Schizosaccharomyces pombe: one gene and its partner. The protein of the gene in region 2 interacts with the protein of the main gene of each other region in a biochemical or structural test. Each region holds a gene or a part of one and is shown on either strand. Other genes may lie near its edges.

Region 1 (7,080 bases), 570 kb from region 2:
CTAACAACTCTTGCTTAGAATTTTTTAATAGTTGTTGATCGTCCATAATGACTAGACAGTTAGCATGAAATTATTCGTTTATTTTTAGGACTTACCTTCATAAACATGCATTGCTGTCGCAAATAAATCAACACGCACAATAGCGGGGAAAATGTTGGAAACATCAAGAAATGCATTAAAACACAAAATAACAAATTCACTAGCTTTTTTATTGGTAGCTGATTCAGCTGGATCAGAACGTAGGCCCGGCACTCTAACCGTTAAAGCTAATGTCAATATTTTGACCAATTGAAAAAGCATTTCGACGCTTTCTGATACAGTAGGCTCCATAGATGTTACAGAATCTGTTTCACAAAACTTCAAGTCATTGTGTGCCGGGTTAGCAAGAGCTAACTTTTTCACAAAAATGACAATACTAGCCTTCGTTTCCCAATCCTCCGTCAAAATCAAACGAACTAAAAGATCAACAACTTCGGGGAACACATTATGGTCATAAAGAACCTTGGTACATAATTCTTCAGTTAAAACTTCAGTCATAATTCGCATAATTCTGAAAACTGGATTTCTAAAGCCTTGCAAAGTGCTTGGAATTAAGAGAGATTGGAAGCAGACACTAAACAAAAAAAAGTTAAAAGAGTACCTGTTGGAAGCATAATTTATGTTGTCTTGGAAGAATACGTCCTCCTCAGAAAGCGACAGCTCATCTCCACTTAATATTCCATAAATCAGATTTGCATCAGTAGAAAGTAATATTGTTAATGACTCTGCGATGTTCAGCCAAGATTTCTCATAAATATTGAGAAGTATTTTAGGGTTTATACTTTGGACCCGAGTGAAAGAGGTATCAGCTACAAAATCTTTTACTAAACTAGGACCAAATTGCAATCTGGAATATCCTCTTAAAGCCATAATCCAATGCGAAGATAGCCTTCGGATGTTAGAGGAAAGAAATTCTTTCAAATATGACACATTCGCTGAATGTACCAGCAAAGAAGCCCAAGCTGATAAAGTAGCAATACGAAGAAAATATTTCGAGTCATACTTAAAGTGACGATTTTCCTCAAATCCAGCCCTCTCTGGTAAACTAGATTCCAACGCTTCTTTCAATAAATTGAGGATTTTAGCTGCTTGCGATTCGGTTTTTAGAAGTCCAGTTCCAATAAAATTGGAAGCTATATTAAGAGACATGGCTACTATTTCAGGAGATGAATCATCTACAAACGCGGAACTAAAAGCAGAGCTGATTTGAGCTTGAAATTGGTCCAAAAGAGAAACATCGTCAAAGTCAGGATCCATAACATTCGAAAAGTCCTAAAAAATTGTTAGCGAGTTTCCTTTAGATTATCCTTACCGTTATGATAGTATCCAAAAGTTCAAAACCCCCCTGCTTCAAGTAAAAGTTGTCTGAAGTAGACAAAACAAAAGCAGCACGGACTAGGTCAGATATCCTAGAAATCAAGTATTTTGCGGGCTCTTTATTTTCGGCCATCACTTCAGAGATACATGTTTTAAGGCATGTAGCTGCATAAAACTGCGTCTGCCAACGGTAATTCTTCTGGAATAATGGATTACTTGCGTTTTCGGAAGTTCCATAAGCCAAAGATACGGTATCTTCATCTAGGTTGTTTTGTATATCTTGTTCGTTGGATCTTTCAGAACTCGAAGTATTTTTTATGCCGACAAGAAAAAGTAAAATATTTACCCATGAGTGTATGTCCGAATCTTTGTAATCGTTTAGCCAGATATACAGTATGTTCTTCAAAAGCTTGTTGTCAGGAGTGGTGTCGAGTGATTGCCAAATAAGCCTATCAAAATGTCGCTTATAACATGATTCCGAGAACTCATGGTTTTGAAGCAATATTTGGTATAAAACTTCAATAGAAATTTCCCTACGTTTAGGTTGCTTTAGGTCAATTATGTTACCACAAAGCTCCCTAATGAAGAAATCAGAATTGGTTTCTAATGGTGTAAATAGATATAGGTGCTGATAACATTTGTAAACGTGTATAATGTTATCTCCCGTATCTCTACTAAGTAAAAGCAATTGGTGAGCTAAATCGAATGCGAAATGCGAAGTAGAAGAATCGGATCGCAAGTTTGGTCCAAGCTCATTTATCAAACAATCCAAGTAATTGGCAAAAAGAGTGGACGGGAAAAATAAACTGTTTCTCTTCTTTAAGAGCTGAACATCAATATCACATTCTGGCAATAGCATATAGCTCAATAAAATGCGTGTCTGGGCAGTTAAAACACTCGGAATGGTCTTTGCGATAGACCCAAGAGAAACGGAAGAAGCACGAATAGAACACTCTCTAACAAGGTCATTCGAATCAGTATTAAAAACTTTGAGCAGCTGATAAGCGGTGATGAGGGTAGTTTGGGGAACTCCGGAACCAACCTTTTTTAATATATGGCCAACGGCTAGAATCAAGACAGCCCTGCAATTTGGATCTCCCGACTCTGCAGCACGTTTAATTATTGTATCCAAAACGGACGTCGGTTTGCTTTGATATAAATATGCCAAAAACGCATAAGATTTCGAAATGTAAGGAATTAACTTCGGATCGTTAACAGCAGTCAAGTTTTCGAGCAATTCTATCATAAGGGATACAACCTTGTCAGGCAAGGTAACTTTTTTGTTATCGAAAGCAGAGAGAAATCCATAAATGGAAAATAAAGTATTTGCTGTTACTGCCTTGTAACGTAAAATATCTCTCCCACTCTTGAGGTTTGTCACAGACGCTACCATAATTTCGAGAGTGCTCTCCATAACCTTCGGAGGTTGATGACAAAACATAGACGCAAATAACTGGATCGCGTTATCAATTAAAGAAGTTAAAGACGGGGGTACGTAAGGAAGTTTTGCAGAGTTTGATCTCGAAATCACTGACAGGGAATCAGAAGATGACTCGCAAATATAACAAGGAAGTATATCATCCATGGTTGTTTGAAATTCTTCCTCTGGCTGAGCGTAAAATCGTGAACCAATTCCAGGTATAACTCTTGGAGAAGTAAAGGCTTTCGCTTGAACTATTTCGTCCGCAGTATCATATCCTTGTAAAGAAGAAAGTTCGGCTATAGTAGACACAGTCGTGGATAGTAATTCTTGATCATCTAAACTCATTCCACTTAACTGAGACAACTCGAAGAAACATTGGAAAATCCGAGCAAGCAAGAGAGAGCGAAGTTCCAAGTGAGAATAATCTGAAGCGGGAATTGGCATGGTAATTTCAAGCCTTTTGGTTAACGAAAAAGCTTTGTAGAATTTAAGGCAGTTATTTAGGAAAATAATGACTCGCTTCCTAACATCAGGTGTGAATAAAATCTTGTTATACTCCAAAAACGAAAGCAAGCACTGTAACGCTTCAAACCGATTAAACATGTCTGCATTTGTCTCCATGAAATTTTGTGAATGTATTTTTGAAGGTACTCTGGAAAGGGCATTCTTCCATAAAATTAGCAATTGGGACAATTGCATTCTAGTAAAAGAAGGACCAAAAGAAACGTAAGCGCTTAATAGTCGCCAACCAGTCTTGATTTGTGCTTGTGCCGCTAATAAATCCAATTTAGATGATGACTTAATCAAATCCAAAGAGAAGTTAAATAACTTTGAAAATATAGAAGAAGCAACATATAGAGGATTTTCTTCGGCGGCAACATAAATCGACATCAACGACAAAGTAAGATTATTGAAAATACCAACATTCAATTTGGGACTTACTTCCTTAGGTTTAGAACGAAGGTGCTTAAATTCCAACTCTAATCTATTAAAAAGAGCAAGCAAAGTGGGCATTAAAGGAGAAGGCATAACGGATAGTAAACAGCGCAGCAACCAGGCTACTTCATTCTTCAATGAATCTTTACCCAAGTATAGAATCTGTAGTGTAGTATCTAGTAACTGACTATATAAAGCAGTAGCCGAACCCTTTGATCGGCTTAATATATCAGCGGTGGAAGCCATCGCAGTCTTAACAGCAATTTCCGAAATCTTCGACTGATCTTTTAAATAAGGCTCTAACACTCTCTTTAAAAGTATTTCAATTCCCTGCAATTCAGAGCTTTGATCGAGAAATCGCCTTCCAATCACATCGCGAAACAAGTATGTACAATGATATTGCTCCAACGAAGACAACCATTCTTTTGAAGTAGAGTGTGATTGGTGTAATAGAATAATATCCACTATAGTAGTGTAGTTGAGAGAAACAAAGGATGGACGTTGCATTAGAAAAAGATGCTTAACGGCAAAAACAAGAACCGCTTTTGAGCTTTCATACTTTGCATGCTTGGAGTGATAATTTTCGACAAGAATCCGTAGGGCGTGACGAAAACTCTCAGTTTCATCAAAACGGCGAGTAGTAGACCGATTTTCTACTTCCTCATTGTTCTCATCATCCGCTGGAGTTGAGGGTACTGCGTTTGCAGCGGCTTCAATCGATTTGTCAGCTTGAGCACTTGCAAGTGCAGAAAAGCATCTTCCTAAAGAAGAATGGAGCAAAGAATTATCAATTGATGATTTTTTAAATAGAAAAGATTTGAACCATTCCAATTCTGAATTACGAAGACGTGAAGAGCCCAGAATGTAGTAAGCGCAACGAAGTGCAGATAAAAGAACATTCGTTGATGAAGTGTTTAAATTTGATTTAATACATTTCCATATTTCTTTTATCAAATCTTCATTCGTAGACTGAATAGATGTTTCAATGCATTTCGACAGTCCATCTAATGCGATTGAGCGAACTCCATATGACAAATTGGTTTTCGAATATTTGAAGAAAAATCTTATAAAAGTCTCTTGCTGATTGATCTATTAAGGTTAATTATAAGTTTATAGAAAATATCCAAAAGAGTAATACCTGATTTCCATATTCTTCCAAGCAAGAAGTCAGAACGGATAAAACGTTACTACCGGTTAGTTGATATTTCAAATATTCTAGACATACATAATCTCTATATAGTCTTTTTTCTCATGAATGCTATCCACGAAGTAAAGTAAAACTCGATGCTGATGATAACCCTCGACTAATACTTGTTAACATATACCATTTTCCATAAATCTCACATACGTCCTTTTAAGAGTGCAATTATACAGTTAGAAAGAAGTTTTCTAGTTGGATAAGCAATAAAATTTCCATATTTTTTGATTAACGAAAGTAGGGGATTTAAATTAGTTTGTAATGAATCCTCGCGAGTATTTTTGTTCAGATTCCTCAATTGTTTTTCGTAATTGAGTAAATCAATATATATGGTCTCCCTCTTATCTACATCAGCTACTTTCGTCAACTTTTCGAGCGGCAATGATGCTAACGACATATGTGGAGCGGCCAAACCAATTTCCCTAGGCTAAATCTATATACATTGAGTTGCGAGGTACTGAAATCTGCAGTCGACATTTACACGATTTACAATAAATTAATAATCAAATAGTCTATAGATAATATATTTATTATTATCATTATAATTAACCACTTTACTTATCAACCACGAACACAAAGATGTTTTAAATTGTAGGAGACTACTAGAATGCAATAGCCATTCCGAGTATCGTTAATTTTAAAATTAAATAAAACAACGAAAAGTCATTTATAGATTTAGTTTTGAAATGGACAAAAATTTTGTCTGAGAAGGCAAAAATCACAGCTCAACGCTAGTATGAGCATCTGCAATGCAAACAATTATTATGCTATTCATAATGGTATTTCCATGTACAATAAGAACAAGGGGTCTCATGATCAGAAGGAGTACTAATAAAACTTAATATTTGCATATTTCCATAAAACCTAATTGAACATTTTCATAAACAAAGAAGAAAACACAAAAAAAAAGAAAGGACAGATATTAATGAAGAGCTCGAAATGCTTTGCTGGCCATAACTCACATATGGGAGAGATTAGTATCAGTATAATCATCGCGCTTGTTATCTAAATTAAATGAACCTAAATTATCAAGCTCATCTTGTTTTTCTTTTTTTCTGCTTCGTACTCCAAGTCCAAATGGAATAACCAGCACTAAAAACCCTGTAAAAGCCATCACCACACCTGAAAAAGAAAAGGAAATTAATAAATGAAATTTCAAATACCTAGTTTGAACTATAAATATACTTACCTGCTGCTTTTCTTATTTGGTCCCATTTCTGCCTCTCATTTTCAGCCCTCAATTTACCTAACGAAACGGCTAATAAATTGTGTAGTTCAACAATTCTTGCACTCAATTGCTGGACTTCATTCTTTGTATCATTTTTCCGATTTTCAAACTCCATTTTGCTTTCGGTATTAAGCTTGTTTAACTGCTCGTGAACCAATTGTTCCAAACTTTCTACTTCCCTTTGGTTTGAAAACAAGCCTGAACGTAACGAACTGATTTGATCTTTTCTCATATTTATTTTCTCTGAGCGAAGCTCCGACAAAGCTGTACGAAACAAATAGGAGCACTATACAAGTTAGCTATGACAGTTCATTTGAAAGCAAAAAAAACCGTCAATCTATAATTAAAGATAAATTTAAAGACGGAAGGATTCTGTAGCTTAATAAATCATACGTACATTTTCAAAATCAGCTTCAGACAGGTAATTGAGATGACTATGTCGCAGCATATCAGTAACAAACATATTCGTGACTTCGAGAAGACCCTCGGCCTCTTTTTCTGTATATCCTTTATCCATTAAAGTTTTCAAAAATGTAAATGTGTTGAAGTGATATCCTTCAAGGTCTCTGAAAGGACGATTTTCGTGATTGGCATTTACTACTGAAAGACCCTTTTCCATTTCACCTGCATCTGTCCCTTCTGATGCATAAAATCGAATTTGCTTCGTTAAGGATAAAGAATAAGGAATTAAACGAAAAGTATTGATACTATGCACTTTAATCCCATGCAAGGTAATTCGGGATCGATTAACATCTATAGCTTTTCGTAGCAAAGAGAACATTTTGTCAAGCTACCAAATTTTGATTATAAATTAAGCAACTTATTAACAGACATAATTAATTTTTGTTAAAAATTGGGTACGATGATTGTGGTGAATGTTAAATGTACATATCAGAAGGCGTAAAGGAGTAGTATGGGTGTACCCATAGAAAATAATAA
Region 2 (8,822 bases):
AGATATATTTTTTTTTCATCAGCATGATTTCCTTTCAAAATGCCCTTACTAGATCTTTTAAACAACATTAATAGGTTCACATCTAATGTATTGCTATTCATTATCTGGAAGATCGCTTCGGTCTTTATAAGTAACTAATTCTTAAACGCTGTTATCATTGGACGCTAAAAAAATTTTCTCTTTGATAATCCGTTGCCAAGGTCAAATTTACATTCGGATATCAGCTTGATCTTAATTATTAAATCCATCAAGAGGTGTAAACTACATTTATTATTTTAATTTGCTCTAAATGAGAAATTCAAATGTCCCATTTTTGTCATATGGCTCGCTTATAACAGAACTTGGATTACTAAAATGTTGATCGGATGTTGTAATTTAGTCGTGCTTAATATTGAGTATGATGAAAAGATTGTTTAAAGTTGCGAAAAGCGGATGCGTTTTTGAATCCATAACAAACTATATATACAGATAGTGTCTGGCTTCAATATGTGTATCGCTAACCAGCACTTCTATTTTTTAGCCAATAAGCTATAGCTTTATCAGCGATTTCAAGGCCCCCTGGCAGATTGAGGACAATCGGAACGTGCAAAGATATAAAACGCACATAAAGTGTAGTTTTCATTCAATTACACTCCTTCACAATTGGATATTGTTTCATTCTGTTATTCTTTGTACAGAAAAAAAAATATCTTAATTTACTTGGTACTAATCAAAAAATTATCATTTTCTCTTTTGTTCTTATGTGTCTTCCAACAATTCGAAAAATTGCAATCATTGGTGCTGGTCCCTCTGGATTAGTTACGGCTAAAGCGCTGTTAGCAGAAAAGGCGTTTGACCAGGTCACGCTTTTTGAGCGAAGGGGGTCTCCGGGTGGTGTTTGGAACTATACAAGTACTTTATCAAATAAGTTACCGGTTCCTAGCACAAATCCCATTTTAACAACCGAACCCATTGTCGGACCAGCTGCTTTACCTGTGTATCCTTCACCTTTGTATCGTGATCTGCAAACTAATACCCCAATTGAGTTGATGGGTTATTGTGATCAAAGCTTTAAACCCCAAACTCTTCAATTCCCCCATCGACATACCATTCAGGAATATCAACGGATATATGCACAACCTCTGCTGCCCTTTATAAAATTAGCCACCGATGTCCTAGATATAGAAAAGAAGGATGGCTCCTGGGTCGTGACATACAAAGGAACGAAAGCCGGAAGCCCGATTAGTAAAGATATCTTTGATGCAGTCTCAATTTGTAATGGTCATTATGAAGTACCCTATATCCCCAATATTAAAGGTCTCGATGAATACGCTAAAGCCGTGCCGGGGTCAGTTCTACACTCATCGCTATTCCGTGAACCAGAATTATTCGTGGGTGAATCAGTACTTGTAGTTGGTGGTGCTTCTTCTGCAAACGATCTCGTCCGACACTTGACGCCAGTCGCTAAGCACCCTATATATCAAAGTCTTCTTGGTGGAGGGGACATACAGAATGAATCGTTGCAACAAGTACCTGAAATTACTAAGTTCGATCCTACCACTAGGGAAATATACTTGAAAGGTGGAAAAGTGTTATCTAATATTGACAGAGTTATTTATTGTACCGGATACTTGTATTCCGTACCATTTCCTTCCCTGGCTAAGTTGAAATCCCCTGAAACCAAGTTGATTGATGATGGTAGTCATGTGCACAATGTCTATCAACATATATTTTATATCCCCGATCCAACTCTGGCTTTTGTTGGTTTAGCTCTACACGTTGTTCCTTTCCCTACTAGTCAAGCACAGGCAGCGTTCCTCGCGCGAGTTTGGTCTGGTCGCCTCAAATTACCCAGCAAAGAAGAGCAGCTGAAATGGCAAGACGAATTAATGTTTTCGCTGAGTGGAGCAAATAATATGTATCACTCTTTGGATTATCCAAAAGACGCTACCTACATTAACAAGCTACACGACTGGTGTAAACAGGCTACACCTGTTCTTGAAGAAGAGTTTCCGTCACCGTATTGGGGCGAGAAGGAACGAAGCATCCGTGAAAACATGTGGTCCATCCGTGCTAAGTTTTTCGGAATTGAACCTCCAAAGTAAATACGTACTTGAAAACTCATTACACCCTTAGACCTTTAAACTTTTCCCTTCAATCTTTTTCTTACTATCCGGTCTCCCTCTCATTCTCTCGCTTTTGGTTTTTAATTTATTATGTTTAGAAAACCGTTTGGAACAATCTGTCTTTTATGTATTTTTAATACACGGAGATTCACTACTGAGTAAATGGAATTGTATGTTAGAAAATCTTTATTTCTGTTTTAATAAAAACATTGAACTTATCCTTTATACAATAAATAGACTTAGACATTTATGTTTCAAGCAAATGCTCCTTTTATGTCAGCTGAGTAAGAAAAAGGATTAGCGCGTCTGCAAACAAGATTTCATTTCGTAATAAATGGGATCAGTACACTAAGAAAACAAATATATAGATGAAGGGAAAGGTATCTAAAGGTAGAAAAAAGAACGGAACGGAGAACCATCATTAGAAACATTTACTGACGGATGGAATATTCAGTACCATTTTGTGTAACATATCGAACCCAAGGCATAGCATGATAATTAAGTTTTGGTTCGGTGATTTTTAAATAACGAACTTGGATCCCTGAGGTAGTGAAATAGGGAATAGCAAATTTTAGTTGAACAGGACGTTTTTTCTGAACTTGAATATCTTCATTTTTAACACTTGGTAAACCCATTTCAGCACGCATGAAAAATTCTTTACCACCTGCAAATTTCTTAATGTTCCAAACCATGGCAGCTTGTTCAGGTGCATATTGCACATGACCATTGCTAGTTTGAAACCGAGGACTGTCAGCATCTTCCGGAACGGGAATGATGATTTGGACATTATTTGCAATACAACGCTTTTTGAATTGAGCCTTAGCTTTTACCATAAACTCAATTCTCGAACCTGAATGCACGATGGATTCACATTCAACCCAAATTAATGGCCGTACCTAACGAGAAATTAATATTAGAAAACGTTGATAAAGGAGAGAGGGAATAAAAAGAACAGGCACAAACTAATAACTTACATTTGAACTCATGCGATAGGACATTAAATCAAATTCGCCATCAGGAGGAATGAACGAAATTGTACGATCGTTTTCAAATCGAGCAAGACGAACACATTGGTGAAATTTCACATCTTCCATTTCCACAGTGTTTCCTTTAATGGTACGACCAGCCGCTTCGAAAAGGACCTTGTCATTGAGCCCAAGACGAAGTTCAGGCATTCCTGATAAGTAGCATTTGAGACGAACTTTTCCTAAGATTTCACTTTGAATGACCGTACCATCGGCAGCAGCAATTAAATTAACTGATTCAATAACGTCCAAAAATACTTCATTCTTACGATAGTGAATTCCTTCAGAACGCCAGGAGATAGCATTTGTCATAGCAATGGGGGGTGGAGCATGCTTTTTTACCGTATTTGAGGTTTGAGTGATGTATTCTTGCAAGATTTTTGTTTCAGTTGTTTGTGGAAAACCGAAATCCATGATCTCGTCTAACAATTCATAAACAAGAACAAAGTTATCTCGAATCGACTCTTCCTGCAATTCTTTAAAGTAATCTATAAAAACGTCCGCCATTTTACGCAAAAATACTAGCATCTCCATTGCATCGGAATTCATTTTGGATAAAGCAAGGAGGTAGACATCATTATGGTGAATGTAAATGTACTGAAAAGTGTTAGTACGACCATAAAAAAATAAGAATTGTTGGCTTTCATAATATCTAACTTTTACATACGTTAATGCCTTCGTGAGTGAGACAAGGGGTGGAGAATCCTTGTTCTTCTTCAACTTCTGATTTTAAAGGTAAAAACTTTTCAACTACTGACATGGGGATATCAGCTCTAATTGTTTTCTGTTAGTAACCTGTCGACGAATTGCGACAATCTGATTTTCATTCAGATTTCAAAATTGCCTACCGGTAATCACGGGAAATGATTACCTTTCCCTTTAAATTCAGAACGAATATAGCAGAAGCCATTTTTACAGAAGCCGCGAATAAGGCAGCTAGTTTCGCTCTGGATAACTAGCATTGACTGTTGGCTGCCTCATCACCGTGCCTAAGCACCGCTAGTGTAATACAGCGTAATTCACTATTTCTGTTTCTTACATATAGTACGAAATTCTTCTTATATTGAGTAATTACTACTCTATGCACACATTCAGTCTTCTTTTATAAGATAATCTATTCAGATAATTATAACTAATTTACATTATATGGTTTTGTAAATGCCGAAAAGGAAAATAATTTTTCTGACAATGTAAGAAAATTTCGGTATGTTTTATTTGACAACTTTGGCTTATAACAATAAGAATAACAAATATTTTAATAAAATTTGATCTCAAACATTGTAAATATTAAAAGCCACAAATCCCAAGAAAGTGCAACGAAAAAAGTTGTTAACTTTCACCAATGATAAAACCAAAGTGAACATCGTGGCTTTTTAAAAAGACACAGATTTTTTTCTAAAATAAAAAGGATAGAGAAATAACAACGTAAAGATTCCAAAAGTGTGTAAAAAATCAATATATACCTCGTAACCTTAAAATACCCAAATAAATTCCCAATAAATACATAACCTATACGCGTCTTTAAACAAGTCGAATACGCTTTTCATGAGCCCTTCGCTGTCTTTTTACGGCATCTTTTCTTTTTCGTTTGTAATCACGAGTTAAGAATAGACGATTTTCCGACCACCAGGATTCAAGAGCTTCTCTGCTCGTATAATCTTCATTACCTGGTTGGAATAGGGAAGAAGGATTGGGTAGAGTAAACATTTTTGGCCAACCCTTGGTACCCGATGAGGCTTTAACTATAGCTAGCGGAGTTTCCCCATCTGCCTCTTCTTCCATAGTTTCGTAATTACGGTCATCAATCTCACTTTCCATTTCACTTTCCTCACCAACTCCATTTTCATTGCCAAAAAGAGAAAACTTAGACGTATCCTGCGCATTGGAAGAAAACATTTCTTTTAAATTGTCAACGTTAACAACAGCAGTACGCTCATCAAATGCTTCAAATTCAGCAGGAACATCTATGTGTACGGACTCTTCCTTTTGTAAATTATCTTGTTCATCCAAACCTTCTTTTTGGAAATTATTAGTCGAATCATTGTCCAGTTCCAAAACACCTGAAGTTTTAGATACGGTATCAATTTCTTCTGTATTTTCAGAACCAAACAGTTCAGCTAACACAGATGCAGCCGTATCCTTATCTTTTTTTCGCAAAGCATCCAATTGCTCTTCGTTTAATTCTTTTGTGACTTCAATCTCCCCAGTTGTGTTATTAAGAAGTTCAAAATCGTTATCATCCTTCTGAGTAGAAGCTTTGATACCCAATTTTGCTTGCATACGTATTTTGTCACGAGAAGCTCTCTTACCCCCATATGATACATACTCATCATGATCAGAATCATAAAAAGCTGTAGTATTGTCCATATTCGTTTCCACTCGGCCCCATAGTTTTTGTAAGCAGTTTTTACCCAGCGGATAAAAAAACCTCGTTTTCTTAGTATTTTTATTATACATTCGAAGCACGACAATGGCCCTTCCATAGGGGCCTTTTTTCCAACCTTTTCTAGGAGGATCCTTCCGAACATCAGAATCCGTGACCACCTGCATATTTTTACTATGTTTTCCGGGAACAATTATTTCTCCATGAAAGACTGGGTCTTCCAGATCAACTTTGCTGGAGTGATCTTCATTTTTCTCATCATTATTAGTACTTTGAAGATCAGCAATTTTTTTTTCCTGCTGCAATTTTACTAAATAATAAGGGCGAGCTTCCTCTATACGAAGTTTACTTCCTTTAAACGTCGCATTTGATAAGTAAGACTTGCATTTCTGCCATTTATCTTCATCTGTTCGAAAATTCAAGTATGCAAATCGTTGTATAGTTCCTACTGGAGTAGATTTGTTTATAATTTCAAGATTTGAAACACTTCCAAAACGAGAAAATCTGGATTCCAAATCTGAAGATTCAATAGAGGATGAAAGGCCACCAACATAAATCCGTTTTTCTAACTCCATTATTGAAGTCAATTGATACAAAATGAGGACAAAAAGTTTCGCAGGTCAAAAAGAGTGTCTGAAATATAATGGGAAATAAACCCGAAAAAATAGTCTACCAATCGCTACCAGATAGCTATTTAGATGAGGAATCGAGAGCTGTGTGAGCAATGAAATTTTTTACAAGGAAAGCATATATACTGGTTTAAATCTCTATGACTTTCGGAAATAAACACTCCTGTAACTTCTTTTTCTCCTTCTTATAAATCAAAAATTAACCTGCTGTAGAAGGCAGGTTCTCGTTGAATAATTATATAAAATTGCAATGGAATTTGTGGTGTAGTAAGTAACCACGGCCTTGCCGAAGCCAAGTTGGAGAAGCCGCGGCTACCTTACACTAACAAACGAACAGTTTTCACATCATTCTCTTTCCAAATAAACCGGTAAAACATCCTTCTTTACTGGATTGGATAGTTTAATATGGATGTTGATGATTTAATTTACGCTTGTAGAGCTGCGGATGAGGAGTTACTAGATGAGATTATAGAGAAATGTCCACAAGAATTAAGTCGTCGTGATGAAAATGGTAACTCTGGACTTCATATGGCTAGTGCTAATGGACACATCGCTGTTGTTCAAAAAATAATCCCGTACTTGAATAAAGAAGTAATAAATGCTCAGAATGAGAGTGGAAACACCGCAATGCATTGGGCAGCACTGAATGGACATGCTGAAATTTGCAAATTACTACTGGAAGCGGGAGGTGATCCTCATATTAAGAATATTTATGAGAAGTCACCTATATATGAAGCTGATATTCGAAATCAGCAAAAAGTAATGGACCTTTTTCTGGATTTTGAGATTGCTAAAGGTAGTGAAGAAAACACTGGTGATGAAGAAAAATTGGAAGATGGAATATGATCGTTTTATTTGATAATTTCTGATTTTTATTTTGTAAAAAAATTTACCTCTTTCTTTTGTAGGTTGTGGGAAGCTAATATTTTTATGCACCTGATGCATTTTTTTTTTCTTTTGGAGCATAATTTGGGGTTATTCTTATATTTTGTTAAGTTTTTTACTGTGTAATTTCTAGATGTTTTCTCAATATAATTCGTTTTCAGCGATGTACGTTGCCATGTATCTGTGTAGAAAGTTCAAGTGATGTTTATTAAAAGATGGATTATCTCAATAGACAAAATGTTTATCTTCCATCATTTACAGATAGAAATTGAATTGGAAAAGTGCTTTCATTTTTGTTTAAACCTTGTAATTAAACCTATGTAGCGTTATACGTTGGAATAGAAAGAGAAAAGCCTACCGGTTGCGTTCAAAAATGGAACAAAACTTTATTTCTAGATTTTATCAGGTTCGTTATTCATGGCAATCTAATCAAATATACAATTCATGGTTATAATCCCAAGGTTTTACGAGCCAATCGTCGAACTACACGACAATATTCTTCTCGATCTTCTCTCCACATCTTGCACGCATCGATGTTAGCACCACTTTCATCGTTTGGTTCCGCCAACATCGACATTACCGATAACAGTATTTTTTCAACAGATTGAACAGGAGACCAACGTTCTGAAGACGACTCATACATATTTGGATCGTCACCAGGTGCATGTAGGATGGAAATGCAAACCGTCCCATCTTTGTAAACTGAAATGAAGGTTAGTCTCGAAATTTGGATTAATAGTATCTGGCATACCATTTGGATGGAAAAATTCACACTCAAACTTTAAAGTAGGGGGGCCAAGAGGATAATCCTACATAAAAAAGTTAGAATCCAATAAAAATAAAACTAAGCACGTATCAACGTGCGCTTGAACACCCCGGATGTACTGCCATGCGATTCAAAGAAAGAAACCAAACCCCCAAAAAAAAACTTAGATAGATCTTTTAAATAAAATTTCTTCCTACTCATCAATAAATCGAAGGATTCATCAATTACTAATGAATAAAAGCACTTCTCTTAAATGATCATTCTAAACGAATGGATTATTGAGTTACTTTCTTTATTTACGCTGAACAAATGTTAATTTATGAAAAAGAGCGCGTATTTTTTAATAAGTAGTTGATACATAAAACATGCGAAACATCATACTTATCCACAACTTAAATCACATGTTCAGTCTCCATCAGGTTTATAGTAAAGGACTTACGGAAGGAAATTTCAAGGTAGCAGGGTATAACCCACCTTCAAATGGAGTTCCATCAGGGCCTTGAATTAGGCAATCCCAAGTAAAGAAATCATCCTCATTCGATGGACCTGCAGTAATACCATCAGGCCCATTCTCCGTTAACTCCTTATACTCCTTCATTAACCGTCGCAACGCCATAGCTTTACTCATTTTGGAAATCAATTAACTTACTAATCGGTAAGATATATTAAAGATCACTGACTAAAAGGTAGCCTAAAAATGGTAATGAACAGATTAATGAATGAATGGTTTGTTTACGACAAATTATGCAGCTGAGGCTAAACGAACTTTTGTGGTATCACTCGCTATTTTTATCTCGTTCATCATTTTAGCAACTTCTACCGCACAAAATAATAAGGCCGTTAATTAAAATAGCGAAAACATGTAAAATTCATAAAGTGATTTAGAGGAAAGAAATGCAGCTTGCTCTATCCCACAACATTCCAATAGTAATTGTTAAATACTTAGGAAAACGTATCCGAGTGCAATTGGAATTTAAAAAAGAGCTTGCGCAGAGATCCAAGCATCTGATGGATGTATCACAATGCGAA

The links.
Region 1: the proteins of apm1 (region 2) and sip1 form a complex in vitro, tested with the Schizosaccharomyces pombe proteins (2 studies listed by BioGRID).

What each region holds. Positions count from the first base shown.
Region 1 is NC_003423.3:1,333,954-1,341,033, reverse strand, and holds the start of sip1 (Pof6-interacting protein Sip1 AP-1 accessory protein), read right to left. Parts: upstream 5,324-7,080; 5' UTR 5,311-5,323; coding exon 5,064-5,310; intron 5,020-5,063; coding exon 4,941-5,019; intron 4,903-4,940; coding exon 4,854-4,902; intron 4,805-4,853; coding exon 1,352-4,804; intron 1,312-1,351; coding exon 96-1,311; intron 52-95; coding exon 1-51. Other genes in the region: SPOM_SPBC27B12.07 (uncharacterized protein), read right to left, coding at 5,872-6,035, 6,103-6,427, 6,539-6,922.
Region 2 is NC_003423.3:1,905,398-1,914,219, reverse strand, and holds apm1 (AP-1 adaptor complex mu subunit Apm1), read right to left. Parts: upstream 4,080-8,822; 5' UTR 4,041-4,079; coding exon 3,979-4,040; exon of another isoform or gene 3,904-3,978; coding exon 3,798-3,903; exon of another isoform or gene 3,728-3,797; coding exon 3,080-3,727; intron 3,002-3,079; coding exon 2,537-3,001; 3' UTR 2,405-2,536; downstream 1-2,404. Other genes in the region: fmo1 (flavin dependent monooxygenase), read left to right, coding at 741-2,084; ribosome biogenesis protein Nop8, read right to left, coding at 4,652-6,088; ribosome biogenesis protein Yar1, read left to right, coding at 6,548-6,988; ubiquitin-conjugating enzyme Ubc7, read right to left, coding at 7,476-7,729, 7,779-7,836, 8,233-8,421; SAGA complex, phosphatidylinositol pseudokinase subunit Tra1, read left to right, coding at 8,802-8,822. UniProt on the Schizosaccharomyces pombe protein: Component of the adaptor complexes which link clathrin to receptors in coated vesicles. Clathrin-associated protein complexes are believed to interact with the cytoplasmic tails of membrane proteins, leading to their selection and concentration.